3 linked regions of the Stegostoma tigrinum genome follow. The protein of the gene in region 3 interacts with the protein of the main gene of each other region in a biochemical or structural test. Links are inferred from orthologs where the notes say so. Each region holds a gene or a part of one and is shown on either strand. Other genes may lie near its edges.

Region 1 (10,038 bases), on a different chromosome or scaffold from region 3:
TTTCCTCTCTCATTTTGTTCCTAAGTTTCTGTTATACAGTTCCTTTGTGGATTCCTGTGTCTGCATTTTTTTTCCAAATTGGATAAACTGGGGGCAACATTCACCCCAATATGGAAAACTTCCAGAAAGGTGTCAATCGAACCAAAGATACAGATATCAGTGACTTACTTCAATCATTTTGATGCATGTTAATTCTGACTAGATGTTGTCTATTGATAATTTCACAAGCTTGGCTCAGCTTGGTCAGGTATTCACTGTGCCCATCTTAAATCAGTGTTTTTCCTTTTTCCTTCCTCTCTGATGAAGGGTCTAAGCCCGAAACGTCAGCTTTTATGCTCCTGAGATGCTGCTTGGCCTGCTGTGTTCATCCAGCTTTACACTTTGTTATCTTTTTCCTTTTTAATATCATTTTATTCCATTAAACGTACTAAGTAATGTAGTATAGGTCCTAAGTGTGTATTTTCATCACTATCATAACAGGAATGGGTAAGATCCACTGTAAGTATATATAGTTTTTTTATTATAGTCATATTAACAATGGCATAGTGGCTATGCTACTGGATTGGTGGTTCAGAGGTTTGAACTAATAATCTGGAGACACAAATTCAAAATCCATTATGGCACCTGGAAAATTTCAATTTCAGTGGAATAGCTGATATCAGCCATATGAACATGAAGGCGTAAGTCAACTGTGATGGCAGATAAACTATACTTGGGTTCAACAGTACAATTTTCACAGAATCATGGAATCCTTACAATGTGAAAGCAGGCCATTCAGCCCATTAAGACCACATCAAACTTTTGAAAACCATCCCAACCAGACCCAGCCTATCTCTACAACCCTGCATTTCCAATGGTTAATCCAACTAGACTGGATATCTCTGGTCATCTTAAGCCTTCCATATAAAAATACTTGAAAATTTATCAAAATTGATTTTTATGTGAGGCGAGGTCTGATTTCATTCCATCCAAAATATTCAGTAACTTGAAAAATAGAATTCCTAATGACAAACTTGAGCAGAATCCTTATTTCATCATCTGCACTATTCTAACCAATACAGATTACTTCAGGCTATAATCACTAGAAAGCAGGAGGAGGCATCAATATGTTGGAAATGCCGACAGAAGTTTGACTGTAGGAAATTAATATGTATAAATCCTACACAGGATGGGTGGTAAAATAAATTGAAAACTATGAATGCACTATCACTACATAAGCATTGCCATTTGATTATGAAATGCTAGATGTAGATCAACTTATAATGAAAAAAAGAAATAATGGTAACTCACTAAACCAGATAAATTTATTGAATCCTGAAATGGACTATTATTATAGATATTGTAAATGCAGCAATAGTGTGTTTGGGAGGAAATCAGTGAAGTGCTCAATACAGCTTTGTGCTTTTGAGCTCCAACATGTTGATTCACCAGATTAAATGGAGGAATGTTGAGAAAAGACCAGGGCACAACTGCACACCCAGGATGCAACAGAATGGTTAAGAAAGGAAGAAAATGAGTTGCATCATATGCTCCAATGAATCTGGCAGCAGAGTTTAAAAATGTCACAAAAATATTGTAAACATGATACCCACTAGCTTGACTGACTATAACACATATCAAAGGGAGACCAATAGGGGTGGAAAAACTGTAAATACCTTACAAAGGGACTCTCACCCTCAATCATGTCCCACTTGCATTATTTAAAGAGCAGTGTACAGTGCAGAACTTAAAAGTCCAATTCAATTCAAGTCTATCTTGATATGCAATAAAGTTAATTCATAAATAACTAAATTTGCAGAAAATAATTAAATTATTTTTAATTATTTATGACATAAATTTGCAATGGCCAACCATTTGTATGAGCATTATTCACAGAAATATTTAAAATGAAAACTCAATATGTAAGAAAAAGTTTTGAAACGCCGGTATATTCAGTTGACAGAATGCCATAAGACTATGTGTTGCTTCAAAAAGTCTCCAACTGTAATAAAGCAATGTCCCACTGAACCCTAACAGTTTTGCAAGAATATGTAAGTCATTTTTTTAAAGATACCTGTAAAGTTGCACTCAGCAAATATTTAAACATTTGAATAGATACACACTTTAATTTTTAAAACTAACTTTGATATAAAAAAGACATCCATCAAACTGCTTTAGAGATGTTTTACAAAGATCACAAAATATAGGTATTTGGACAGAATAAGTTTTATAAAAATGATGACAATGATAAGGATGTAAAGCCCAACATTTCACCGCGAAACCTGAAGGGATGATGCTTCTCTACATTTCGCTGTCGCTTTAACCACTCCTAGGTTCTATCCTTTGGATTGGTAAGTTTCTGAAGCACCGCGAATCTCAAATGATTTAGACAAATTCGCTTTTGGAATACATGCTGGGGATTTTCTTTGTTGTCTGTTTTGGGGGCTGTTTCCCATGTTGTCCAGGTGTATAACTGTAACTCCGTTTCTGTCCATTCACACACGAGCAGCAAAGGATGGCCCCTGCAGCTAACAGGAAGCCGGCAGTCGCCCAGCCGATGTACAGGGCTTCGCCCAGTTCACGTTTCATTCCTTCCAAAACCAGCGGGTCGTAGAAATTCCGAACGATTATGTTGGCGGTCCAAGACACGGGGATCAGGACGACAATTCCCGTGAGGATCAGCAGAACTCCAGCGCCTATCAATATGCGGCTTTTTACCTGTTCATCCTGAATCCCACCGCGAGTACATTTCATTCCCATGGCAGCGACGAGGATGCTCAGAAAAGCCAGCGCCACGGCAGTGCACATCAACGCACGGCCAGCCTGCAGCTCCGGCCTCAGGATCAGGAACGAGTCGTACAACTTGCACTGCATCCGAAAAGTTGCCTGCTGAACGCAGCTCATCCACAAACCTTCACAGTTCCTCTCAAAGACCACCAGATTGCTCCCAATGAAGGCGGTCACATTCCACTGGGGCAGCCCGGTCACCGCACACGTCCCGACCAAGCCAATGACTGCCAGGACCAGGCTGAAGATTTGCAGAGTAGAACTCACCATTTCGTCTCCAGTTTACAGCTCCAAGCGCGAAAGCTTCCCTTCTCGTAAAATGAGTCGGAGAAGAACCACAAATAAAGACCAAGCAAGTAACTGTCGTGTATCGCTTTACCAGCTGGTCCCTGTTAAAACTCTGCAACAAAATGTTCTGCCCTTTCGTAAGGTCAATTAATCCCAGACGTAATAAGTTAGGACGTTCTCTTCTCTGCTGTTGGACTTTTTAAAGGAACCACTGATTGGGACAGAATACATAACAGGGCAGAGCAAGCTCTGCAGCCAATGAGGCGACCTCCAGGGATGAATTATAAAACAAAGGAGCGCTCTTCTCCGCATCTTGAAAGCGGTAAACACCTGTGCAAACGATTTGAAGTTTTATTGGCGAAACTATTTTTCTTCCCTCGCTGCCAGTGTTTTTTGCGCTCCTGTCCTGAAGAGTTGATGTTACACGTTATGGTTCCACAGTGGGCACAGTGGCGACATGTTAAAATCACCTGTTTAGTAATCCAGAACACCAGGGTAATTTTTTTGAGGGTATAAATTTGAGCTCCACCATGGCGTATGGTGAAGTTTGAACTCCATATAAAATGCGGAAGTAAAAACTATCAGAATGGTTCATTGTTGTTAAAATCTGTCTGGTTCACTGATACATTTTAAGGGAGAAGAGTGAATCCAGAGTAAAAGCCTTAACCTTGCTTCTCCCTCCGTGGGTGCTGCTGCATTTCTCCAGCAATTCTCTCTTTTTCATTTCAGATTTCCAGCACATGTAGTTTTTCTTGTTTTTTTTTTAAGAACATAATAAATAGGACAACAGTGTTCTATTTGGCCCCTTCCAACCTGCTCTGCCGTTCAATAGGATCATGGCTGATCCAACATTCTTCAGGTCCATTTTCCTGCTGTTTATCTGTAGCCTTTGTTTAGCCTATTGATCAAAAATCTATCCATCTCAGTCTCAAATATACACAAGGAATCCGTCCCTATAGCTCTTTGTATGGAGGAGTTCTAAAGACTCACTATCTTCTGACAGAAGAAATTTCTGTTTGTCCCAGCCTTAAATTGTAGTAGAATAAAGGGCCACCGTTCTCCTCTGGTCCCAGAGCCTTCCATAAGGGGGAACATCCTCTCAGCATTCACCCTGTCAAGCTCCTCAATAATCCTATTTGATTCAATGAGATCTCCTTTCATTATCCCAAACTCCAGTGACTAGAGTCCCAATCTGTTCAATCGTAAGATCTTCCCTCCATACCAGAAATCATCCTAATGAACATCCTATGAACTGCCTTCAACAAAATGATGCTTTTCCTTAAATAAGGAGATCAGAGCTGCTCACAATACTCCAGATGTGATCTCACATTTAATTGGCATTCAAATGGGATTGACAATAAATACTAGAATAGCCAGTGACACCCACATCCTATTAGCACATAATGCTGAGCATCCTTCAGTGCCTATCCCAAGTCTCAAATAACCATCGTGCAATTGTGGATGTTCTGTAGGCTACTTCACTACAGGAGGCATTGCACCTGACTAATCTCAACATATCATTCACACTTGCAGCAGTGGCAGTCAGATGGTAGCCAAGAGAAAAATCCTGATGATTACTCACTCGCCCTGTTTTCATTTGATTTGATTTTTTAGTGTCACATGTACTGAGTACAGTGAAAAGTGTTGTCTTACATGATTTACAGGCAGATTGTATTATAGAAGCCCATCAGGATAACAGAGCAGAGTGCAGGATATAGTGTTAAAGCTGCTGAGAAGGCGCAGAGAGAGATCAACATTAACATTTGAGAGGTCCATTCAAAAATATGGTAACAGTGCAGAAGAAGTTGTTCTTGAATCTGTTCATATGTGTATTAACATTTTCGTATCTTCTGTCTGACAGCAGATGGTGGAAGAGGGTACTACTGGGGTGGGAGGGGCCTTTGATTATGTTGGTTGCTTTCCCGATTCAATGGGCAGTATAGATGGAGTCAGTGCTTGGAAGGCTGGTTAGCACGATGGACTGGGCTGTGCTCACAAGCTTCTGTAGTTTCTTGTGGTCTCGAGAAGAGCTGTTGCCATGCCACGCGGTGATGCGTCCAGATAGGATGCTTTCTATGGTGCTTCTGGTGCCTCTTTAAAAACTTGTCAGATTCCTGGTGGACATATCAAATTTCCTTAGCCTTCTGAGGAAGTAGAGACGTTGTTGTGTATTCTTGACCATAGTGTTAATGTGGGTGGACCAGGACAGATTGTTGGTGATCGTCACTCCTAGGAACTTGATGTTCTCAAACATCTTCACCTCAGCACCATTGGAGTCAGGGGTGTGCCCTCCTCTCTGTTTCTTGAAGTCAATAATCAGCTCCTTTGTTTTGCCAATGTTGATGGGGAGATTGTTGTCTTCACATTATGGCACTAAGCACTCTATCTCCTTCCTGCACTCTGTCTTGTCGTTGTTTGAGATCTGACCTATAACGATGTTGTTATCAGAAAACTTGCAAGTGGCATTGGAGCGGAATTTGGCCACACAGCTAAATGTGTGTAAGATATAAAGTAGGGGGCTGAGTACACAGCCCTATGGGGCATCGGTGTTGAGGATTATCATTGAAGAGGTATTGGTGTTTATCCTTCCTGACTGCAGTCTGTTAGTCAGGAAATCAAGAATTCAGCTGTAGAGGGGAGAGCAGAGACCTAGGGTCCTATGCATACTGCATGCCAGGTGGGCCAGATCGCAGTCCCACCAGACAAACTCGCCCAAAACATAAAAATGGAGCCTGGCATCTTCATCCTGCGTATGCTCACTGTATTAGATCTACAACCTTAAAATGGACTTAATAGTTTTCTCTATACTCTCCTAAAGTACTTCTGAGTTCTGCTGTGGATCGATACTCTTGAGAATAGGTTTATTCTTTCAATTTATTGCAGTTTGGACTGTGACTGACTGTGCAAGCATATTTCAAGCACTCTAGAAACAAGGGGATGCATTCAAGTTTCACATACAAGGTATTTCTGTTTTCCTGATAATAGTACTAAATGTTACCCCCCTGCAGCAGAGCTGCTCAATCATTACTGTGTCCAAAGGATAGTGCAAACCTTAATAACACAAAACAGCATGTTGTAGGTAGGTGTACTCAGGTGGAAAGAATCAATTTAACTTTATTTGAAAAGCGAGAACAGGAGTGGCCTTAGACATACTGACATTCTGCTCTGCATCTGAGTTCCACCAATGATATCTCGCCAAACACACTTCTAAAATAAAAGTGAAACATTAAGTTGTATCTTAGAAAACTTTCATTTCTTTGAGGTTTCAAAAATATCAGAAGTATTTTAATGAAACTGTAATAGAACAAGAAAACTTTGATATCAAGTTATTAAGCATTTTCAATGTTAAAGATGCAGTGACTAAGTAATATTGCTGTGTTAATCCCACAAATTACTCAAAAACATCCAGAAAAAAATTGCTTATGATATTTTTTCCAATTTACTTTAATTTTTGCAGCCCAAAGCACAGCTCTAATTTTATTTTATTTAAACATTTCAAATTAATATTAAATTTATCTACCAAAAGCTGTGCTGTGCTTTTTTAAATTTATTCATGAATGGTTTATTTTGAAGGTCCCAGTTTTTTTTCCCCTGAGTTCTGGGCTTGAACATTTCATTTTTGTCCCGATCTGTGACTCTATCGGCTAAGTTTGGATTGTGAAATCTGATCATGTGCGGTGTGCTCAATTTTCTAGGCTGCATCAGCACTGTTCAGTCAAGTAATATTTTCGTCAAATAACTTTGAAAAATTAAAGGTTAAGGGTAGGCCATTTGACACTCGAAGAAGAGTTTGCTACAGTAGCTTGGAAGATGACTTGCATGTCCATGAGTATGCGTGTTTCTGAATGAAATGGTGCAGAATATGATTACTCTGCTTGGCACGAAGAGCTGCCTTCAAGCAGATAGAATTAGTTGACAATGGCATCACTGTCAACACAGACATGGTGGGCTGAAGGGCCTGTTCATATGCTGAATTGTTATATGTTCTGTATACATATGAAATGTGTGGGAGGAAGTGACAGTTCATGTCAATGTTATTGCAACATGCTGAGGGTCCAACAGCAAATGTGAAAGACATGTTTCAGATATGAATATTCCATTTAAACTAAGATTTATATAAACAGTCTGAAAACCAGCAGGAACTCAGCCCAAAGCCTTTTAGCCATGACTGATATTTTAGATCAAATTCCATAAATGCTGCTAACTTATCTTGTTTACTTGCATTTTCCTCACTGTCTGCCATAACCTTTCTTTCATTAAAAAATAGTAAACAAATGCAAAAGTAGTTATTTTTCCTCCATATTGTTTCAGAAAGTGAAGTAAATATGTAAGTGATGTTGCAAACCAGATTTGTACACGGGAGGAAGGAAAAAAAGATTTTATTTTGGGCCTTGATATCGTTGGTAGATATATCATTGAGAACTGAGCACTATCCGCATCAAACAGAAAATCATTGACTGAAAAGTTTTCTAAATGTGTTCAGTTGATGATAAAGATTTGCAGGAATGTTTTGTAATAAAATACAGGATTTCATTCTGGGTGTCAATCTTCATGATGCTGATTGTTACATTCTCAGATGGAGGTGTGAACAGAGCAGTGAGCAGGCAACAGATCATGCTAGGGATGCTGTAAGTTTTTCTGATCTTTCTCTCGAGGTGCTTTACAAGGAGGTTTTGGCAAAGAGGGACATTGTATTATAGAACATAGAACATAGAACAATACAGCTGACAAAGGTAGGAAACAGCCACAGCTTTAACTATCACACATCATACTGTGTGGCTTACTCCTTCATGTGACTGTATGAGAGATATAATATGATTATGTGCACCGTAAATGATTAACACATTAAACAATGAGAAATAACCTATTAACAGCCCAATATACCAATATAATATATTATACTATAATCAATAAACACAATATCCATGAGAAGGAATTTAATTCAGGGTGTAAGGGCTTTAATTACTCCCTCATATTTGGAAAGGGGAGTCCAACACATGTTGGAAACTCCATGTATTCCCCTGCTCTCTCAAATGAGCATTAGTGATCCGTCATATGCAACAATAAATTGCCACCTAAGAAACAGTTCTGCTACCAAATCTTGAAATGAACCAAAGCCGAAGCAGACCAAGGCCACTGTGACTTTGTCAGAAATTGAAAACTTTGTGGTTGGAAGAGGTCCTGTAGTAGGCCGTGGCTCTTAACCTTTTAGATTTATGCGTCATCAAAACAAAACCTTGTCTTACCATGATAAAAACAAAAAAAACCTACTTTTTCCAAGGAGTGCATTTTTACAGTTCATATTATGTTGACCATTCACTGATATCTTTAAGAACATTAAAAATAACAATGATATTGCTGAGAATAAGTTGTATTACTAAATTGTGAAAAGAAATGAGAGAATGATTTAACCATTGGTAAGAAGCTTGTGGCAGCATTTCACTGGCAAGCATGCCAACTCTTGAGGTCTTTGTGTCCATCCCACTGGTTGAGAGAACTGTACAAGCCAGAAGCCACCTGTATGGAAAGGCAAAGCCTCCTGCTGCACAGACATAAGGGTGGTTTTTTTTCCTTTGCATGGTATACCCTGTGCAGAGGATATTACTTTTATTATCATCTTGCCCTTGTTCCTCTCATTTGTGTTCCCACCTGTTGCAAATGCTGGTCATCATCACTACAGGTCTCTACGTAATTCTCTTGACCAAGTTTGCCCCGGCTTGACCATCAAAGTTCATGAAACCTCTCACTCCATGCCTGCTCCCAAGATCACTGTTAGCTTACCAACAAGTCACCCTACTCCCCTGAATTGCCTGAGTATTTGCCATCTAAGTGCTCAAGAAGCAATGTCCATATGGTGACAACTGTATGGAAATTCATACAGGTGTCTCTGAGGCTACCACATTTTATAATCTCTTTTGATTATCTCCTGCAATCATGACTATGATTTTCATAGTGTTCTACTTCCTTACGATGGACTTTTGTGATTGCTGTAACATTTTACCAAAATAGCAAAAAACTGACTTTTGCCAAACTGTCAACGAACTTATTTTCTTTAACAGTTGCTTATCTGCTATATGTGAGTGGATTCCCAGGTCCTATAGCTAGATGTTGGTACATTATTTGGTGGTGCAAAATATGGGGAGGGGCCACCCCTTCCATTCCCACACCCATTTGAAATAAAAATTCCAGTCATGGTCTTTGGACTGTTTACTTCTTGCTTGACTTAAAGCACTTTGGACTTTGTCGTTGATCTCTGGCCACAACCAATGTTCATTCATGGCACTATTGTATACATATAACATTAGTTTTGCCAGCATTTGAACTATTCTGGAAGGCAGCCACAAGATCACTTGTTACTTTCAAGCTGCTTAATCATTTATGGTAAAAACATAGCATGATGTGATTTTGTGAAATTTGTTGACTGCGGAAAATTGGCAACTGGTTTAACCTCATTTGTTTTCCATTGAACTCATCACCAGATGTGATGTCAAAAATTGAATCAAAATGTGTCATCCTTTGCCTTTCATTGTTCCTGATACCATCTAATCCACCAAGAAAAGCAATGAAACACTATGAGGGAACATGAAAAACAAGGGTACTTATTTTCAACATACTTCTCCAGTCAATAATAAATTTTTTAAAAATAAATTAAACCATCTAATACAATGTTTCTGGCATCAAAAAAATGTTGTATTTGGAATAAGTTGAACTAATTTTGACCATCACTTCTTAGCTTCCAAAAAAACTCAGGAACACAATCAAAATTCTTTATTTTAGATGAGATCTTCTTTAACCCAATACTGCTTTAATCACCTTAGAACTCTTATTGTTCAAATTATCTCTCAGTGATCAGTTGTGAGCCCTCAGTGTGCACTAGGTATCATGCAGTTGAAGACCCAGAGGAAACCTACCCATTATTACATCATGTCATTCCAGTGTTCATTAACAAGTACAAACACAAGTGTGAGTTGAGATTTTACATGG
Region 2 (10,530 bases), on a different chromosome or scaffold from region 3:
CAACCCCACCACACCCGGCACCTTCCCCTGCAACCGCAGGAAATGCTACACTTGTCCCCACACCTCCTCCCTCACCCCCATCCCAGGCCCCAAGATGACATTCCACATTAAGCAGAGGTTCACCTGCACATCTGCCAATGTGGTATACTGCATCCACTGTACCCGGTGCGGCTTCCTCTACATTGGGGAAACCAAGCGGAGGCTTGGGGGCTGCTTTGCAGAACACCTCCGCTCAGTTCGCAACAAACAACTGCACCTCCCAGTCGCAAACCATTTCCACTCGCCCTCCCATTCTCTTGATGACATGTCCATCATGGGCCTCCTGCACTGCCACAATGATGCCACCCGAAGGTTGCAGGAACAGCAACTCATATTCCGCCTGGGAACCCTGCAGCCATATGGTATCAATGTGGACTTCACCAGTTTCAAAATCTCCCCTTCCCCTACTGCATCCCTAAACCAGCCCAGTTCGCCCCCTCCCCCCACTGCACCACACAACCAGCCCAGCTCTTCCCCCCGACCCACTGCATCCCAAAACCAGTCCAACCTGTCTCTGCCTCCCTAACCGGTTCTTCCTCTCACCTATCCCTTCCTCCCACCCCAAGCCGCACCCCCAGCTACCTACTAACCTCATCCCACCTCCTTGACCTGTCCGTCTTCCCTGGACTGACCTATCCCCTCCCTACCTCCCCACCTACACCCTCTCCACCTATCTTCTTTACTCTCCATCTTCGGTCCGCCTCCCCCTCTCTCCCTATTTATTCCAGTTCCCTCCCCCCATCCCCCTCTCTGATGAAGGGTCTAGGCCCGAAACGTCAGCTTTTGTGCTCCTGAGATGCTGCTTGGCCTGCTGTGTTCATCCAGCCTCACATTGTATTAGCTGGTGGATGTTATCATGTTCACAGTTTTCACCAGTCTCAAATCATGAGGAGTACAGCTATGATTCAACACACAACCAATACTCCCAACACCCCTTTCCTCCCAAGGTCAACACCCACCAACAACCCCTACTCCTTCCAACTCCAAAGTCCTCCCAACCAGTCCTCAAATCAACTCCACCTCCCTGCAAACAGTCCCCTCCCCCCAACAACACCCTCAACCAAACTCATTCCTCTAAACAACTCACCCAACCAGCCACTATGCCCCTAACTCCAATGCCCCCATACAGCCCCTTCACCCTAAACAACTTCCCCAACCAGTTTCTTCCACAGCATACGGCCCAAATAAATTCTCCTCAACTCCACTATCCAACCACCCTTACATTCACCAACTCCAACTCACGCCCACCATCCCCACTCTCCCTAACAGCAACTACCCTCCAAACAATCCCCTCCCCTCAAAAATTTGACCTAATTAGAATTAACCTTACTTTCTCCAGCTTTAACACCTTCTAATCACCCATAGTCTGCCTTAATTCCAACACTCCCAACAATCCCCTCTTTCACCAACTCAGTCTACCCATACCCTCTCCCAAAACACTCCTTTCCCACCCAACTACTCCTCCAACTACCCTCACTGCCTTGACTTGAACTCCGTCCTCAACTACCCTTTCTCTCCCGCTATTTAAAACCCCAAGGATCACCTACACTCCAACTCTGATGTCCTTCTGTAAAATGAAAGCGAGTGATTCACAGATACAGTATCGAACAGAACCTGACACTGAATCACATCTGTAGGTATCAAGTGACCAAATGTTTGATCAGAGGGCTAGATTTAATCAGCATCCAGAGACTGGAAAGACAGGTGAAGAGGTTTACAGTGGGAATTTCAGAGCTTCAAAGTTGGCTCTTGTGGTACAGCGGTAGTGTTCCTACGTCTGAGCCAGAGGCCCTTGGTCAAGTCTCACCTGCTCTAGTGGTGTGTAATAACATTTCTGAACAGGTTCATTAAAAAGCCAGGACTTCAAAAGTTAGTACCTAAGGGCAAACCAGAAGCAAGGAATCCTGCAGTGATTAATTCACCTCCAGACTCTGCAAAGCCTGTCCGCTACCCTCAAACCACAGATCAGAAGTGGGATCAACTTGCCTGGGTAAGTGCAGCTGCAGCACGAGTCAAGAAGCTTGACACATCCAGGACTAAGCAGCCTGCTGGATTGGCACTACATCCAATAACATTCACTCCCCCTCCAAAGTTCAGTGGCAGCAATGTGTACTATCTCCAAAACAAATTGGAGGAATTTATCAAAGTTCCTTAGATTGAACCATCCAAACCCATGACCAGTTCCATCTAAACAGACAAGGGCAGACATGGGATCACCACTACCTGCAAGCCCCTCACCATCCTGACTTGGATACATCTGTTCCTTTAGTCTCTGGATCAAAATTCTGAAACTTCCTCCCCAAGGACAGCAGCAATTTGAGAAGGCAGCCCACAACCACCTTCTCGATGGCAATAAACTCAGGCCCAGCCACCAATACCCACATCCCATGTATGAATAAAACAAACTATGGTGGAGCAACTAAAGTTGGAGATGGACAAAAATCCAAAATTGCAGGGGCACAAGTAACAACAGAGGTTGTAGAACGGCTTAACTTTGCAGAAATAGGGAATAGCAAGGTGATGGAGTCACTTGGGATGGATGCTGAGGAAATTAAAAATCAAGACCAACAGTGAACAGAGGCCAGCGAAGTGAGCAGTGATTGGTGACCAGGCAGTGGCACAAGTTAGGATAATGGCAGCAAAGCTCCAGAATGTGCAAACCCAGCCAGGAGGACACGTGACTAGTGAACTCTGAGAGTGTGGCTGATTGTTTGAGGAACAGGAGATGAGGAGGCTGAAGTCTGGCAGCCTTACGGTTGGCAGCCATGTCAATGGAAACCCATATCAGACTAAAAAGAAAGCAAAGTGCTGTGAACAGATACTAGACATGGATGCTCATCTGAAGAGGTTAGCACAATGAGCTAAATGGTCTTTTATGGACTTTGAGATTTCTGTGTCTGGTTCAGCATCAGGCAATTGAAGGGGACAGGGTTCAAGGGCAAAGAGGTAGGCTTTGCAACGGGGATTAAAGACTCTAGGTTCTGCCTTCCCAAGACACAGTTGGTGGTAAGTTTCTGTCTATGGTGTCCTGGGAGCAGAACAACAGTTTAATAAACATGAGGCAGGAAAGCTGTCAAAACAGACATTGGCAGGTCCAGCTGGGTGTGGTCAGTCTATATTGATAACTGACAGCATTACAGATGGGAGAACTGTCAATGAGATGCAGGAAGGGGTGAAGGGGTAACAGCAGAGGTGAGAGGAAAATATTCGGCTGATCTGGGGCCCCGAATGGATAGCTAACAGCGCCAGCAGCTCACAGTTCCCTTGTTAAAAACCGAAAGAACTGCTGCTGCTGTAAATCAGGAACAAAAACAAAGTTGCTAGAAAAGCTCGGCAGGTCTGGCAGCATCTGTGAAGGTAAAAACAGAGTTCTCCTTCTATTGAGAGGCTCTCTTTCAGTATGCGGGCGAGAGAAGGGCCTGAAACAGATGCTGTTTTTTGGCGTACACTTTTAGAAAGAAAGGGAACATTTCAGAGGCCGCCTACCCCAGGAAGACCAGTTGCAACTTGCCCTCACATCCAGACGCACAGAGTAGCCTGGAGCGCTTTCACTGGAATTAACAACTGAGTAACTTCTAAACAAACGGGCAACGGAGCACCTACCGGGCGACCTGGCAAATTCTTCACGTGCGGAAGCCCAGTAAATCCGCCCCGTGAGCTAAAACGAGGGAGAGCGAGCGCGCTCAGGACAAGGCATAGAGACCTGAAATCAGCAAGAGTGCGGGTTCTCCATCACTGCAGTAACTCAGAAAGTGTCCGCGGTTTCAGGAGACGGACCATTATTTTGTAAAGGGAATATTAAAGCCTCCTATTGACCAATGAAAGCTTCCTTCTGATAGACAGAGATAGAAGGAGCCCGCTCTCCATCCCCCGCATCCACTTACTGTGCAGTTTCAGCATTGAGTCGTAGACTTTACACTGGACCTGCCCGGTACTCTGAGACACACAGGACATCCAGAGCCCCTCATAGATGGCCTGCGCCGTCACGATGTTCTCCCCGGCGTAAGACGAGGTTTTCCATTGGGGCAGAGCGGTGCTGGTAATGATTCCGATCCAGCCGAAAAAAGCCAGGGCAAAGCCCAGGATCTGGAGACCCGAGTTGGCCATTCGCGTTCTGCCTGCAGGGCAAAGGGAGATGAGTTCTACCTCACAGCGAATAAACCGTGTCCCCCAAATCCTACAGGCAACACCCCTCCCTCAAAACCACCCCCAGCTGCCCCCCCGCCCTCCCCATCCTTCCCCAGGAACTGTACCTGACTCTGCTGGAGAACTTGTTGCTCTGCTGCCGAGTTCTTGGGAATATACCTGATCTGTCAGCCACACCTTAAAGGGGCGGATTCAGGTTCCGTCGGCCAAATCCATATTACTCGAAATCTCGATATCTCTCAGTGACTCCCCGGCATCTTAGAGCCTACTAAAAATGGCAGATGATGCTACATCGGTTGTTCGTTTTAGATAACTGAGATAGATAAATTTCTGTTCAGCCAAGGTATTAAGGGATATGAGCTAAAGTGGTTCGGTCACAGATCAGCCATAAATAATCTCATTGAATGGCTGAACATGTTTAAGGTCCGAATGGCCTACTCCTGTTCCTGAGTTGCTATATCTTTCCATCTCTCTCTCACTCTCATTATCTTAAAATCTGTCTTTATTAGTGTACCAAACAATTCTATGTCTATGTGCTTGTCTCTGTGTCACCCGTAGTATCTCTGCATTTCTCACCGTGTGCCTGTTTCTCGCAGCCTCTCAAAGAACCTTCCGTTCGGTCCCCAGTCTGCCAGCCTTGGGCAGATTTTCAGGCAACTCAAATTAGGCAAGAATTCACCACCTCCACCCCGCGTTCCACGTCAATTTGCGACACCTCGATTTAATTTTTTAAAAATGTCCAATAAGAGTTCTTTCTGCATTAGTTTCTTCTTAGAATCATTTGTTTAAGAAGCTGCAGAAAATCTTCAGTCTGAATGTAAGGGAACAAAAATGTCTGAGCCTCCAACGATTGTTTAGTGTGCGAGTTGGTATTGATCTGTGTGTTGAGTCAACTGACCCCAACAGAGCAGCAAAAGACAGGGTAATAAAGTGTGAAGCTGGATGAACACAGCAGGCCAAGCAGCATCTCAGGAGCACAAAAGCTGACGTTTCGGGCCTAGACCCTTCATCAGAGAGGGGGATGGGGTGAGGGTTCTGGAATAAATAGGGAGAGAGCGGGAGGCGGACCGAAGATGGAGAGAAAAGGAGATAGGTGGAGAGGAGAGTATAGGTGAGGAGGTAGGGAGGGGATAGGTCAGGCCAGGGAAGATGGACAGGTCAAGGAGGTGGGATGAGGTTAGTAGTTAGGAAATGGAGGTGTGGCTTGGGGTGGGTGGAAGGGATGGGTGAGAGGAAGAACAGGTTAGGGAGGCAGAGACAGGCTGGTCTGGTTTTGGGATGCAGTGGGGGGGCGGAGGATGATGCGTTGTATCCGGAGGTTGGTGGGGTGGTGTGTGAGAACGAGGGGGATCCTCTTTGGGAGGTTGTGGCAGAGGCGGGATGTGAGGGATGTGTTGTGGGAAATGCGGGAGATGCGGTCAAGGGCGTTCTCGACCACTGTGGGGGGAATGTTGCGGCCCTTGAAGAACTTGGACATCTGGGATGTGCGGGAGTGGAATGCCTCATCCTGGGAGCAGATGCGGCGGAGGCAGAGGAATTGGGAATAGGGGATGGAATTTTTGCAGGAGGGTGGGTGGGAGGGGTTGTGTTCTAGGCAGCTGTGGGAGTCGGTGGGCTTGAAATGGACATCAGTTACAAGCTGGTTGCCTGAGATGGAGACTGAGAGGTCCAGGAAGGTGAGGGATGTGTTGGAGATGGCCCAGGTGAACTTGAAGTTGGGGTGGAAGGTGTTGGTGAAGTGGATGAACTGTTCGAGCTCCTCTGGGGAGCAAGAGGCGGTGCTGATACAGTCATCAATGTAACGGAGGAAGAGGTGGGCCAACCTCAGCAAAAGACAGGGGCTTGGGCTTGAAACAGAGTGCAAAATCCCTGGATTTTCAAATTGAGGGCATGATATGTGGATGGGGGATTGCTTGCTATTGTTGGACTGTAAGTGAAGTTGGATAAATGGAGCTGGGTGCAGATTGGGCATGGACAATGGTTGAATGGCATATCAGTCTTGTGGAGCTAAACATGCTTCTTCTGTTGTGGATCAAAATTATTTTGTTTATAGGGGTCAGCTGACCCAACACGCAGGAGATCAAAATCACGCTGTACACTAAACAATTGTTGGAGGCACAGAATTTTTTGTTACTCTACATTCAGACTGAAATTTTGAATGTGTTCATTTATTAAACAAAACTCTCCATGAGGTTCCAAAAGTGAACTGGGTCACCATAATTCAGTTGGAATATCATGTGATTCTCAGACACCAGTCTCAGTTAAACTGACATTTGTATTGTTTGAGTAAAGCAAAATCAGAAAGTGATGGAGAAACTCAGCAGGTCCAGTAACATCTGTGGAGACAGAAAATGAGTTAATGGTTTAGATCTTCCTCAGAGCTTCAGTAAATGACTTCTTCTGATTTTGAAAAGCAGACATTTTCACCTCAAACCGTTATCTGTTTCTCTCACCACAGATGCTGCCAAAACTGCTGAGTTTCTTAAGCACTTTCGGTTTCTATTTGAGATCGCTAGCATAGAGTCATAGAGTCGTTCAGCACAGAATCAGACCCTTTGGCCCAACCAGTCTGTGTCATCAACAATCACAAATTAAACTCGTCCTACCTACCTGCACTTGGTCTATATCATTCCAAACATTTCTTATTCATGTACTTTTGTAAATGACTTCTAAATGTTGCAACTGTACCTGTGCCCGCCACTTCTTCTGGAAATTAATTCCTCATGTGAACCACTCTTTAAAACAATTGCCCTTCAAGTCTTTTCTTTAAATCTTTCTCTTCTCACACTAAAAACATGCCACTTAGTCTTGAAATCTTCAACACTGGGGAATAAGCATTTGCCATTCACCTTATCTATGCCCCTCATGATTTTATGAACTTCTATAAAGTCACCCCTCAACCTCAGTAAAAAATGTCCTAGCCTATCCAGCCTGTCCCAGTAATTCAAATCCGCCATTCCCAGCAACACCCTGGTAAATCTTTTCTGAGCCCTTCTTAGCTTAATAATATCCTTCCTAACTGCGGTTCTGAGGAAGGGTCACTGGATCCGAACCGTTAACTCTGATTTCTGTCCACAGATGCTGCCAGACCCACTGAGTCTTTTCAACAATTCCTGTTTTTGTTTCTGATTTCCAGCATCTGCAGTTCTTTCAGATTTTATTCAGCAGTGCTTTTCTTTTGTTTTGAATGGGTAGAGTGTTGGGAATTATTGAAGCCCTTCTGAGATGTGGTACTCAGTGGCAGGATCAATGCTTGCTTCTAGTTTCTCATCCCATATATGACTCTTGTCTCTGATGTATTGCTCCAGAAATGATTTTTAAACCACTAATTCTTAATATGTGAATATTTCTAGTAAGGTCAACATTTACTGACCATCCCTAATTGCTCAATTTTGATGCAAAGTAGCTAGCCCTTATGAATGAACGGCATTTATTTCATTGGATGTTGGTATCAATGGCTGGGACACCATTGGTTGCCAAACCCTAGATGTCCTTGAGAAGGTGTTGGTGAGCCACTTTACTGACCCACTGCAGATATGGATACATTCACTGTGTTGTTAGTAAGGGAGTTCCAGATATGGACCCAATGAAGAATACAGTTCGAAGTCAGGAAGCTATGTGTCTTGGAGGGGAGCTTGCAGCTGGGAATGTTCCCATATATCTATTGCCCTTATCCTTCTCTATCACAGTGGTCACAAGTTTGGAATACAGGCCAGACTTGTACATTTCCTTCCTTGGGGAAAGCTTTCCCTTTTTTAACCATGCTAGGAGATCAGTGCACTCTGGGCTGAGAAACAAATTAAACAGAGAACAAAAACTGTGGAATTTCGAGATGCTAGAGGAATTTAGGACTTCTAGTGCACAAGTCACAAAATGTTAGTATGAGGCTACAATTGTATAAGGAGGAAAATGGTATTCTATCTTTTATTTCAAGAGAAATTGAACATAAGAGTGAGGAGGTTATGCATTAGTCATACAGGGCATTGGTGAGAATTCATCTTGAATATGGTGTATGGTCTTGGTCTCCTTATCTAAGGAAAGATGTAAATGCATTGGAGATTGTTCAAAGAAGATTTGCTAGATGTCATGTTGTTTGTTCCCACAAGACTTCCAAAACGTGAGGGGTGATTTGGTTGAAGTATATAAGATCCTGAATGGTCTTGACAAGGTGGATGTGGAAAGGATGGCCATCTAACCCAGGTGTCTCATTATCACAGCCAGCAGAGTATTTGACCATTGAGTCCCCAATCTTTCTGATGTATTGAGAGGTGCTGCTGTACCTGTTGCATCTTTATAATCTTACCCTGATTGAGAGGCTGTGATTGTAGATTTAACACCACAACAATGTCCCAGGAGAAACATTTTTTGAGGGTTGTTATTGAGGGTCAGTCACGGAATGAGGGCAAACAAAATGGATCACAGGAACTCTCAGAGGCCAAGACTGTCAATGAAATCTTTAATAACAAATCCTCCAAATGATATAAGATTGTTCTTAGCTTTTATTTCCCAGATAGCTCTAGCTTTATTGTTTGATCTCCCCAGTTCTGATCAGTCAGTATTTATACATCCTTATTTTCACTTCCTGCCCAAGGTTTTTTGGCAGAGAGAAATTCCAGTGTTAGACAGAGAAGCTCAGGAGCAAAATATCATTAGGAAATGAGTGAACCTCCCTCTACAGTATCCCCATGAAACACATCCAGACCAGATACAGCATGGGGTTAAATATAGAATAAAGTCCCCACTACACTTACCCCATCAAACCTCTCTGGACAGGATACATAAAGTAAAACTCTCACTATACTAGGTTTTCATGCATTGCCAGATTATCCACAGGCACTGCTGCAATTCATCAAGTTTACTTTGACAGCACTTCCCAGACACATGTTCTGTACAAGACCAAGGGTATTCTGTGCATTTGAAAGCAGCCAAGCTGCAGAGCATTTTGAATTGGACATATATCACAAGATCCTTCAGCGTCAGTCAAATGTTGAAAGGGCCTTCCGATCAAACAAAGGAAGCACGTTACAGTGGGTTCAGCTATGTTGAGCGTGAAGAGAGTAAGGCACGGCTGATGGTCTTTTCTTTAATGCCAGGAGTGTAATTGATAAGACTGGCGAGTTAATGGTATGGATTGACTCAGGGAAGCATGATATTGTTGCCATCACAGAAACATGGTTGAGGGAAGGGCTGGACTTGCAACTCAACATTCCGGTGTGAGACAGATGAGGGTGTAAAAAGGGTGATGGTTAATTAAGGAGTCAAGTACTGCACTAAGGAAAGATGATATGTTGGAAAGGTTCTTAAATGAGGCTTTGTGGGCAGAACTTAGAAATGTTAAGGGAGCAGCTACTTTACTGTACTATAAACACCCAAAGAGTCAACTGGAAATAGAGGAGCAATTATGTAGACAGTTCACAGAGGTGTGCAAGAGAAGTTCAGGGAGCAGTTCAGCTGTGGCTCCAGAGGAATACAGGAAGTGTAGGAGGGAACTCAAGAAAGCATTTAGAAGACCAAAAGGGGGGCGTGAAAAAGGAATTGCGAGCAGGACTAGGGAGAATTCTAAGATATTTTATAAATGTATTAAATGGGAAGAGAGGTTAATCAAGGAAAGATTAGAATCCATTAGGGACAACAGGGCGACCTCTGTGTAAAGCTGCAGGATATTGGAAGGGTGTTGAATGAATACTTCTCTTCAGTGTTCATTCTGGAAAAGAGGAACATAGGTATGGACTTCAGGAAAAGAGGCTGGGAGGAACTTGAACATTTTGACATAGGATACGGGGAGATATTGGAGGCTATACTCACCTCAGAAACAGACAAATCCCTGGCCAGGATGAATTGCACCCCAGGCTGCTGTGGAAGGCAAGGCAGGAAGTTACAGGGACTCTGAACAAACTTTTAATTCCGTTCTAGCTACAGGGGAAGAGCAACAGGATTGGAGGGCGGCTAATGTGGTTCCACTTTTTAAGAGGGATGGTAGATACCCTTCATCAGAAAAAGACAAGATGAAGCAGGACACTGGGTAACTTAGAGGAACAGAGGGTTCTTGGCGTAATTATTCATAGATCCCTGAAATCAGCAGAGCATGAAATAGGATAGTTAAGAAAGCCTATGTGACTCCTGCTTTCATCAGTCATGGCATACAGTATAAGAGCAAGGAGGTAATGTTGGAGTTGAGCAGAATTTTGGTCAGGCCACAACTAGAGTACTGCATGAAGTTCTGCTCACCTCACTACAGTGTACAGAGAAGGTTCACCAGAATGTTGCCTGGAATAGAGAAATTGAGCTATAAGGAGAGACTAGATAGGCTTGGATTGTTTCCCTTAGAGCAGAGAAGACTGAGGG
Region 3 (10,504 bases):
TCACCCATTACTCTCATTGTCACATTTTATGGATTGCATTCATCAGAACTAACCCAATTTCTCACACTGAACTCTTACGATCGCTTTTTCAGTGTTTTTCCTATCCTGGCCTGTTCCCTGTTAACTCCTTGTTTACCTGCCCCTTCAACATCTCTCTCCAGGCTGTCTCCCCGTATCCGCACAACTCTTCCCCAAACTTCGGCTTCAACACAACGATCAGATTTTTAGCTTCAAACACAGTTCTGTAGCAAGAGTCACTCGACTCAAACATTAACTCTGCTTTTCTCACACCTCCCCGCTGCGACCCCCCAAACAGATGCTGCCACACATACTGCATTTTCTCCACCATTTGTTTTTGTCTCAAGATACTTCTCTTCTGCCACCCATCCAGTTACGTCTCTAAATACAGCTTCCTTGACATTCAGAACCATTATCACCCTACTGTCATTGTAAACAGCCTATATCTAACCTCAACATCAGAAACAGATGTTGCTCAAAAAGCTCAGATCTGGCAGCAGCGAAGAAGAAAAAAAAATCAGAGTTAACACTTCAGGTCCAGTTCTGAGGAAGGGTCACCTGACCCGAAACGTTAACTCTGATTTATCTTCACAGATCCTGCCAGACCTGCTCAGCTTTTCCAGCAATTTCTATTTCCGTTCCTGATTTACGGCAGCTGCAGTTCTTTCAGTTTTTAATCCATATCTAACCTCCTTTTCTCATTCAAAGTTTACCACTTCGTCACTACTAAAATTCATGCCCACTTTTTTTTCTGCAGAACATGTCTGAATCACTCCAATCATATTTCCTTTATTGCCACAATTACTTTTCTGCAGCCTTTGACATCGTCACCTAAAGTTCACCTGTCCTCATTTGGCTCCACTGTCTCACATCAACTGGTAGGCAAGCTCATCTGTAGCTTATCATTTTGTCCATTACAGCATGACTTCCCAGGCCAGTGAACATTTGTCCTAGTGCCCTCTACTTTACATACTATCATTTGTAAGATCATCCACAGACGAGATGAAATTACAGCCAGTTCTATTTCTCTCAATCTCTTCACTATCTCCATATTCTCTTCACCACAAAAGACACCTGCTCTCATCTCTGTAGCCTCATTCACCCTTAGCTCAGTGCAACTGCAGCTGAGATCCCAAACAATTGTATCCACACTTTAGTGTTCCACAGCTCAACCGTCTGGCTTCCCATCCTCTACCCATATAAAATTTACCTGATTCATAACATAGCTGCCAACATTCTGACTTGCAACAAGTTCCACAAAACCCAGTACCCCCGCCCCCCTCAGTCAACATTGGGGTGACGGTATCCAGTAGTCAAAAGCTAACATTTTCATCCCGGTATTCTTGCATGGTTCTGGCCTCTGTAAGCCCCATTATCTATTTTCCCTATGAAACAAGTCATGCCCTTATGGGCCTTTGATGCGCACTCTTCAGTGCTGACCAGGACCCTTCTTCTGGTATTCTCAAACATCTCCACTTAAATACTTTCCTTTTGAAGGCCCTCCTTGAAATCCACTTTTTTGACTAAGCTACTGATTGAAATGTGTGTCACGGCTAGACAGGGTGGCTAAGGCGACATAGAGCGGCGTGGTGGCTCAGTGGTTAGCACTGCAGCATCAGGAATCCAGGTTCAATTCCAGCCTTGGGCGGGAGTCTGTGTGGAGTTTGCATATTCTCCCCCGCGTCTGCATGGGTTTCCTCCAGGTGCTCCGGTTTCCTCCCACAGTCCAAAGATGTGCAGGCTAGGTGGATTGGCTATGCTAAATAAGTGTTCAGGGGTGTGTGGGTTATGGGGGATGTGTCTGGGTGAGGTGCTTCAAGGAGCGATGTGGACTAGTTGGGCCAAAGGGCCTGTTTCCACACTGTAGGTAATCTAATCTAACACACTTGCCTTCATTACTCAGGCCTTTGTATCTAGGAGTTGTGATGTCATATTGAGGTTACACAAGACGTTGGTGAGGCTTCTTCTGGAATACTGTACGCAGTTCTGGTTGCCAAGCAAGGTTATTTTAAAACTGGACAGGGTTCAGAAACAATTTACCAGAATGTTGCCAGGAATGAAAGATTTGAGCTATAAAAATGGCTGGTTAGGCTAGGATTATTTTCACTGGAGCACAACAGGTTTGAAGTGTGACTTTCGAGAGGTTTAGATAATCATCATCGGGGCACAAGGTAAACAGCAAGGGTTCTTTTCCACCCCCTACTGTTGGGGATTTCAAAACGAGGACTTTTTTAATGCGCAAGGAAAAAAAAACTTTAAAAAAAACACAAGGGGTAACATTTTATTAAACAGAGTGGTTCATGTATTGAATGAATTACCAGAGGAAGTGGTACAGTCAGAACATTTAAAAGACATTTAGATAAGTACACAACTAGAAAAGGTTTGGTGGGATATGGTTCAAATGCAGGCAGATGGGTCAGGTTTAACTTGGGAACATGCTCTGCATAAACGAGTCGGACCAAAAGGTCTGTTTCCGTGCTTTATGAATCTATGACTCTGACTAACTCTGCCTTCTTTGTTCTTGCCTCTGTTTTCCTCTTATTATGCATCCATGTAGAGTGTCTGGGAATGTTTACCTTCATTACAAGCTGCATACAAAAAAAGTCAGTTGTTGCCATTGTTGAATTTTGTTGCAGTTTTACACAATTACAGGAAGTGACACTGGAAACTGAAATAATTTCAGTTTCACTCACAGTACTCAAACATTGATACGAAAAGGTAGGGTCCATGCTACTTTACAGGAGGTTGCCAAAATTACTGAATGCACTCAGTCCCAAACGCAAGCATCATTTCCACAAGGCAAGTGCTGAAATATATTGTTTAGAGATCTGTGTTGCTAATATTCGTAGAACTAACTTCTCTGAAATCGATGTTTAAAACAAAACCAAGCAATTTGGTGCATTTACCATTGCCAAACAGGAAGCTGAAAAATAATGTAATATCTGTGCCATATAATTGAGGTTGTGGAACATTCATTGGGTTTGGTACCCCACTCTTACACTCACATCAACACATATTACATCTTGTCAAGACTGAATTAAAGCCTCTCCTTTCCAATTAGATACATAGATTTTACTTGGAATTAACCTTAGTCTTCAACTTGGCTTCTCGTGGGCATCAGTCCAAAATTGTAAAGTTGCTACTAAACATGCAGCAAAAACAGGAAACCTGCATTTTCCTGAAGGAGAAACAAGTGACACAAAAGATGCGTTCTGGGGGGGTAACTTGACTGATTCACTTTGTACCAGCCAAGTTATTCCTGACTTGGTGACTGTAGACAGATAATGTTTCCAAATCATATTATTCTTAAAACTGACTGCAAAACAGTACAATTCTGAAGAACCCAATGTATTTATTTGTTTCAAATGCAGTTGCATTATAATTTATTACAATTCTACATGCTTCATCCAAGGTATGTCCTGCAGAATGCTCACCTACAACTATATTTATGCTTTGATGCAACTTTAGGTCTCAGCTTATACCATCCACACTGGGAACTCCAGCCTGCTGAGCTCCTTATCCACCACATTCCAACACACTGATTTCCCTGAACTCTTCAAATCTTGCTACATTTCTCAAATAAAAGCCAAGTTCTATGAACATTGGAGCATTTGTTTCAAAGAGCCATATCAGATCTAAAAGGGCAGTGGTGGATCCTTGTTGACACAACAGGTACTGGTCTGAAGAGTCACAGATGCTGCCAAAACTGCTAAGCTTTTCCAGCAACTTCTGTTCTTGTTCCTGATTCACAGAAGCCACGACCTCTCGTTTTTTTAAAACTTGGTTTTGTGGTCGCATTTCTCCATGTTTTCAATTCAAGATCTCTCTTTGCTTGTACTACCTTGAAGTGTTTATAGACATGCCAGCTTTTGCAAAATGAACTAAGGCAGGACTTGCATGTATTTACAGCTTGTCTGCGCAGAATGAACAATTTTAATACATCCCCTACCCCATGAAATTGATTTGCAAATACAGAAACTTAAGACAAGAGTTTATCAGACTGGAGTATCACCATTCGCCCCTAAAAACCCAAAGTTGAAATCAATTCTTCAACTTGGTTAAACAAATTCGATTACTACATAGACCATACTTTTCAAGTTCAAAATATCACTTCACTAAGAATGTATTGACCATGCAACATCTGAATACTTTATATTTTCAAAGGGCTTTTGTTCAGTTTAATAACAGATAGTACAAGAAAACGAATTTAATATTGCAGCTCACTGTCATCGAGTTCAACTCAAAAGTATCCAAGGTCGGTTAACACGTACAAGCACAAACTAACTCAGATCTGTGCTTTCGCAGCCGCCTGTCAGTGGAAACTCAATACATCTGTCTATTAGTTTCATGACGATTTAACCAGCGTTACACAGCAGAAATATTCGTTGCACCCTTTCTCCTCTCCTGCATACCAAAAAGTTTCATCATCGAACTGAAACCAGACCTCACTTTAGGACAACGAAGTCCTGGCCAAAAGTCTTCTTACGAAGAAAATGCCAACTCTCTGATCTCCAAAAATGTCGGGAAAGACTTTAAGCTCAAACAGCAAAGTGAAAGTTTGTAAACCGATACATTCGCGATAACTAGACCCAGCAATAAATTAAATGTCGGTGGCAGTAAAGAGAGATGACAAGGAACTGAACCCAGACTTAAGATGCGGTTAATGTCTATCAATTCCCTCGTCATTGGCCCACTCCGTGGTAGAGCCTGACCAGAGTGGCCGTGTGCCTGGCGGACCCTCTGATATGTCGTACCCAATACCCCCGCCTTTCTCGCAAGCACAAAGTCCTCCAGTGTCAGGGCAGGATGCCGACGGAAACTTCCAGACAGAGCCTAAGACGAACAGACCAGTATCTGTCTCGTCGACGGGGTTTCACCACCGCCCTTTTATTGATCTCCTCACTTACGCACCCTCGCACTCCACTGCCTCACCTCCACCTCCCCCTGCCCTAACCAACTACAGTAGGTTCACGTCCGCTAACTTTCAGCCTTTCCCTGCACAATTATCCCGAACTCACCACCTCCGCCAAAACTCCCGCTTACCCAAACTGTCCTCTCACTCTCTCTCTCCTCCTGTCCCCATCCCTCCTCTTTCCTCGCTCTTCATTCGCCCCCCGCTCCACCCCCACATACCTTGCCCATTGCTCCGGCCACCCGGGCGGACATCTTGTTTTCGTAGTTCTCTGAAGGAAAAGCACAAACGCCGACCTCGCTCAGCTACACTGCCTTTCCTCACAGATTGGAAGCGAGCATTCTAGTGCGACAGTAGAAAACAGCCACTCAATCGAAGCTTTCCCCGTGCCCTCTGAGCTCGAAGAGACTATCCTCAGTCTCCTCCCGAATTCCGGTGGCCGGTTGCACAAGCACAAAACAACAAGGCCGCGGGACTCTCAGCACCAACCAATAGGAGCACACCCGGCTCGTCATATGGTAACGCCCCCTTTTTACTGGTTGATGGCAGAGGGGCGGGGCCAGTTTCCCCGCGCGTCTCGGCTTCGGCTTCGATGGTGGAGCCGCGCGCACGACGAAGAGGATCAATCACTGGCATCCAGCCCCTGGGTTCGGTCTGTAGCTCCGGGCTCGAACTCCAGGCTCGGTTTCTAGCTTCCCCACCGAACTCCTGCCCCAGGGATCCGTGTACACCCATGCAAGAACCCTGTGTTCTTCTGAGTTTCCCAGAGTACTCCCAAGTTACTTCTTCCAAAAGGCCTCACTTCACATTTATCACGGTTAAGTTCCAGCTGCCCAAGAACTTCTTCCTCACTGCTAACCACGAAGCCAACCTTTTGTGTCGTACACAACCCAAGTTATCACTCGCTCTTCCACGCCTCCATGAATATTGGTCTACCTTGTTGTTTGTGATTGTAGATAAATACTGTGCACTGATCTCCACTCACATAGCCTTCTACCACCATCCTCTGTCTCCTACTATGAAGACAATTTTGGATCCAACTTGCCAAGTTATCCTGGCTCCCATGTGATTTTATCCTCTTTATCAGCCTTCCATATGTGCGTCCTTGTCAAAGACTTGCCAAAATCAATATAAACTACATCTACTGTATTATCCTCATCTTCACACTTGGTCACCTCCTCAAAAAGTTCAGTCAAATTTGTTACAATTACTTCTTTCTGACAAAGCCATGCTGACTATCCCTAATCAAATTGCCTTCATAAGTGGAGATTAAACCTGTCCTTCAGAATTTTCTCCAATTGTTGTACTACCACTACTTCAAGGCTCTAGCATGTTCCCCATGACAACTGACTGGCCTGTAGCTTCCTATCTCCCTTCTTTCTTGAAGAGAGTAGTCAAATTCATAATCTTTCAACGTGGTGGGACTTTTTCAGTAACAAATCTTCTTTATTCAAAATTCAAACCAATACATCCAGCAGCCATCAATGTTAAGATCCTTGGACAAAGCCCATCAGGACCTGGGGACTTGTGCTAATTTAGTTCCAATAATTTTATTAACATCCTTTCCCTGGTGATAATATTTTTTAAGTTCTTTCCTCCCTTTCAACTTTTGATTTACAATTATTTTGAAAATGTTATTTGTGTACTCTGCAGTGAAGACAAACACAAAATCTGATGAATTCATCTTCTATTTGCTTATTCTCCCTCATTAATTCCCCAGACATGTGGAATATCTGTTCTATATTTCCAGCATTTATTCTCTTGTACTCCCATAAAAATTCTCCCTCCTCATTATTCTCTTCGTCATTGTTGCTTCTTTTTTACATAAAAACATGCAAAATAGAAACGGGAGGAGGTCAGAAAATAAAACAAAAATTGCTGGAAAAACTCAGCAGGTCTGGCAGCACCCATGGAAAGAAAGCAGAGTTAATGTTTGGGTCCATTGACCCCCGTCTTTCTTTCCACAGCCCATGTGATGACAAGGCCAGGTGTGTGGCTTTTGGAGTAAGGACATGGGAGAAGGTGCTCCAGCTCCAAAATTGTTGAACTCGATATTGAGTTCAGAAGGCTGCAAAGTTCCCAAGCAGAAAATGAGGTGCCGTTCTTCCAGCTTATACTGAGCTTTGATGAAGCACTGCAGCAAACCTGAGACAGAGATGTTGGCAAAGGAAGATGATGGCATGTTGAAGTGGCAGACAACTGGAAGCTCAGGGTTATTTTGGCAGCCAGACCATAAGTGTTCCACAAAACAGTCACCCAGTCTGCACTTCGTTTCCCCAGTATAGAGACTACATCGTAAGCAGCCGATAATGCAGTAGACTAGATTGAGTGAAACAGGTAAAGGGCTGCTTCAAACGGAAGATGTGTTCACGCCTTGGATGGTGAGGAGGGAGAGAGCAATTAGGTAAGTGTTACACCTTCTGTGATTGCAGGGGAAGGTGCCCTGGGGGCCATGTTGGGAGTGAAGAAGTGGACCAGGGTGTCCCTGGGGGAACAGTCGCTAAAGAAGGCTGACAATGAAAGGGAGGGGCATGTGCGTGTGGTAGAGGCAACCCATTGGAGGTAGTGAAATGGCAGCTAATGATCATATGTATGTGGATGCTGATGGATGGTAGGTGAGAAGTAGGGGGACCCTGTCCTTGTTGTGGGAGAGAAGAGAGAGCATGAGGGCCGAAATGAGAGATGGTTCAGCCCAGGAGACCCATTCAGCTTATCAAACCTGCTCTGTCATATAATGAGATAATGGCAGTTCTTCTATCTCGATGCCATTATCCCATGTATTATATATAAGTATCCTGATGTCTCTAAGCACTATTTTGACTAATCTCTGACCTACCGCTAATCGTGATGGAATTGTATTCTTTCTCTTTCAACTGGACACTATCTTTAAGTATTTCCTTAGTTACTCACAGATGGTGTATTCTACCCTTAAAATTTTTCTCACTGGAATGCATCTTTGTTCTAATTGTTCTGAAATATCTCCTTAAATTTCTGCCACTGTATCTGTACAGATCTCCACAGATCTACCCCTTAACTTAATTCCCCAGTACCTCAACTAATTCTAATAAATGCTCTTACTTAAGTTTAAAATAACTGTCTTAGACAAACCCTTCTTTCCCTCAAACTGAATGCAAAATTAATTCATGTTAAGACCACATCTACCTTGGGGATACCTATGTTGTGCAATCCCCCTCCTGTTTGCATATTGCTGATTCAGCTTAAGAGTTTTTATAGTTTGTTTTCCCAGTTGATGCTGTACTTAAAATATAATTTAATACAAGACTAAAGCAAAAGCAGAATCTATACAGCATTCAGGCTTTGCTGGTTGATTTGATGTCACTAATCTAAGTGACAGTGGGAATGTGGCAGGAAACTCTTAAACCACAAGTATTTCAGATATAACTTGCTGTGGTTTCCTGCCTTCTCTCACAAGAGAGATGTTCTCAAAGTACAGCGGGTGCTGGAAATCTAAAGTAAAACTAGAAAATAAAGGAAACAGCAAATCATGCAGTATCTACGGAGAGAAAAAGAAAGAAAAAGTTCGGATCAGTGACTTGGCATTAGGACAAATATATTTAGTTCCTATTGGAACTGATGTTTTGTGCAGACAAGGTGTAAATTCTGCATTGTTAGAATGGATTGTTCCTATAAAGAAAGCTGAAAACTAGAATCAAGGTGAGTCATGGAACTCAACTAGATGTAAAATCAAAACAGAATCATGTAATACTATGCATCTAATTAAATATAGAATCATTTGTAAATGTATTGTAACGTTTCATTCAATTATCCTTACACTTTCAAAAAATACATTATTTCTTTTTGGTGCATTTTCCATTGGCCAGGGCACAAACACTAACCTGGCTAACAATGCCCACATACTGTGAAAGAATAAAACAAATTCTTACGTAATGATCAAAGCATTTGAAACCAGAATTCTAATGGAGTAGGAAGAAAATCAATTCCAAATGAGTACGAGGAAGTTGATACTTTTAGGCTGAGTAAAAATTTCAGTGGGGATTAGACAGGGTCAATGTTGGAAGGACACCAGAACTTAGGCATCACATTCTCTGGATAAGAGGTTGGACAGAAAGGACTCTTATGGGGGGTAATTTGTTTTTTCTGACGGTTGAAAATCTTTGTCATTCTCTATCTCATGGAACCATGCATGCTCAGTTGATGAGTATGTTCAAGGATGTAATCAATGGGCTTTTGGTTTCTAAGTGAATTGAGGCTCTGGAAGGCAAGTGAAGTTGAAAATGAGAATCAGCTATCAATTCACGGAATAGTGCAGCTGAAAGTATAACCTAGTCTTGCTCTTATTTCCTATGTTCTTGTGAGAGGACATTATGCAGAAAAAAACTCATTGAATGGTGGGTTGTCAAAACAATTTTTTTTTCTATTTTAAAATTTTAACCTGAAATTATAGGATATGATCTGATCTGAGCAGGAATTGCAGTATTATCCTTGTTAAGTTTCTTCTCACCCTCTTCACTACATGTGCACATTCTTCCAGGACTGCAATTATGGTCTTCCAAGATTTAATACAGATACACAAAAAAGCTTCACCACATTTCAATTCTATGGTTTCAGAAGAAAGCTGACTTTATGCCAGAGATCATAGGAACTGCAAATGCTGGAGAATCTGAGACAACAAGCTGTAGAGCTGGATGAACACAGCAGTCCAAGCAGCATCAGAGGAGCAGGAAGGCTGACATTTCGTTGAAGAAGGATCTGGGCCCAAAAAGTCAGCCTCCCTGCTCCCCTGATACTGCCTGGCCTTTTGTGTTCAATCAGCTCTACACCTTGTTATCTCACGTTATGCCACCTGGTTTTGGTTTGGTGGCCTTAATAACTTGTGACAACTTTTAGTGATTGGTGCTTTTGTACTCCATGATCCTTTTGTTGCTCTAACCTACCTAGACTTTCATTTACCAAGTAATAAGTCCTTAATTTTTCTACCCTGCTCATGTATATCAGCACTGATGTTAACATGCAAATTATTTGCCCATTCTTCATGTTTATGAATATTTTCTTACTATTTATTACAGTCCTTTGAAGTATTGACTATCCCTGTATAATATGCAAATTTAGAGAAAATATTTTGATCAAAAGTCCAAATCATAAATCCCAATGCTGCTACACGTACTCTTGCGGAACACCATTTCCCAACTTTTATTACTGTGAATGACTAACCTTTACTCCCATTGTCTGCTTACTGCTTTTAAACTAGTTCATGGTCCATTCTGCCACTTATCCCCAGATTCCATAATCTTTAACTTCTTTTATACATTAATTGGGGGCTCATTATTGAAGACCTTTTGAAAAGCCAGATAAATTACACAACTTCATTCCATCGATTACATCTCAGATACCTTTTCAAAAATTTCAAATAAGTTAGTCAAGCAAGAATGTCATTTCCTTCATTTAGTCAAAAGAAACATAGGGGTAACATGGACTAAGATAGGTTATGTGGTAGCATCAGGAAGTGAGACCCATCTTGATATTGGGAGCAATTCTCACGATGTAATATTATTTTCACAAGTGGTGTGGTGAAATTCTTGATCAACAAAGGCA

What was found.
Region 1: the proteins of tjp1a (region 3) and claudin-8-like form a complex in vitro, tested with the Homo sapiens proteins (2 studies listed by BioGRID and IntAct, with this or other methods). The link is inferred for Stegostoma tigrinum from reciprocal best matches to the Homo sapiens genes TJP1 and CLDN8.
Region 2: the proteins of tjp1a (region 3) and claudin-1-like form a complex in vitro, tested with the Homo sapiens proteins (2 studies listed by BioGRID and IntAct, with this or other methods). The link is inferred for Stegostoma tigrinum from reciprocal best matches to the Homo sapiens genes TJP1 and CLDN1.

What each region holds. Positions count from the first base shown.
Region 1 is NC_081365.1:60,186,626-60,196,663, reverse strand, and holds claudin-8-like, read right to left. Parts: upstream 3,323-10,038; 5' UTR 3,037-3,322; coding exon 2,365-3,036; 3' UTR 1,856-2,364; downstream 1-1,855.
Region 2 is NC_081367.1:55,481,376-55,491,905, forward strand, and holds the start of claudin-1-like, read right to left. Parts: upstream 4,812-10,530; 5' UTR 4,762-4,811; intron 4,377-4,761; exon of another isoform or gene 4,293-4,376; intron 4,158-4,292; 5' UTR 4,147-4,157; coding exon 3,924-4,146; intron 1-3,923.
Region 3 is NC_081389.1:26,742,891-26,753,394, forward strand, and holds the start of tjp1a (tight junction protein ZO-1), read right to left. Parts: upstream 5,417-10,504; 5' UTR 5,185-5,416; coding exon 5,152-5,184; intron 1-5,151. UniProt on the Homo sapiens protein: TJP1, TJP2, and TJP3 are closely related scaffolding proteins that link tight junction (TJ) transmembrane proteins such as claudins, junctional adhesion molecules, and occludin to the actin cytoskeleton.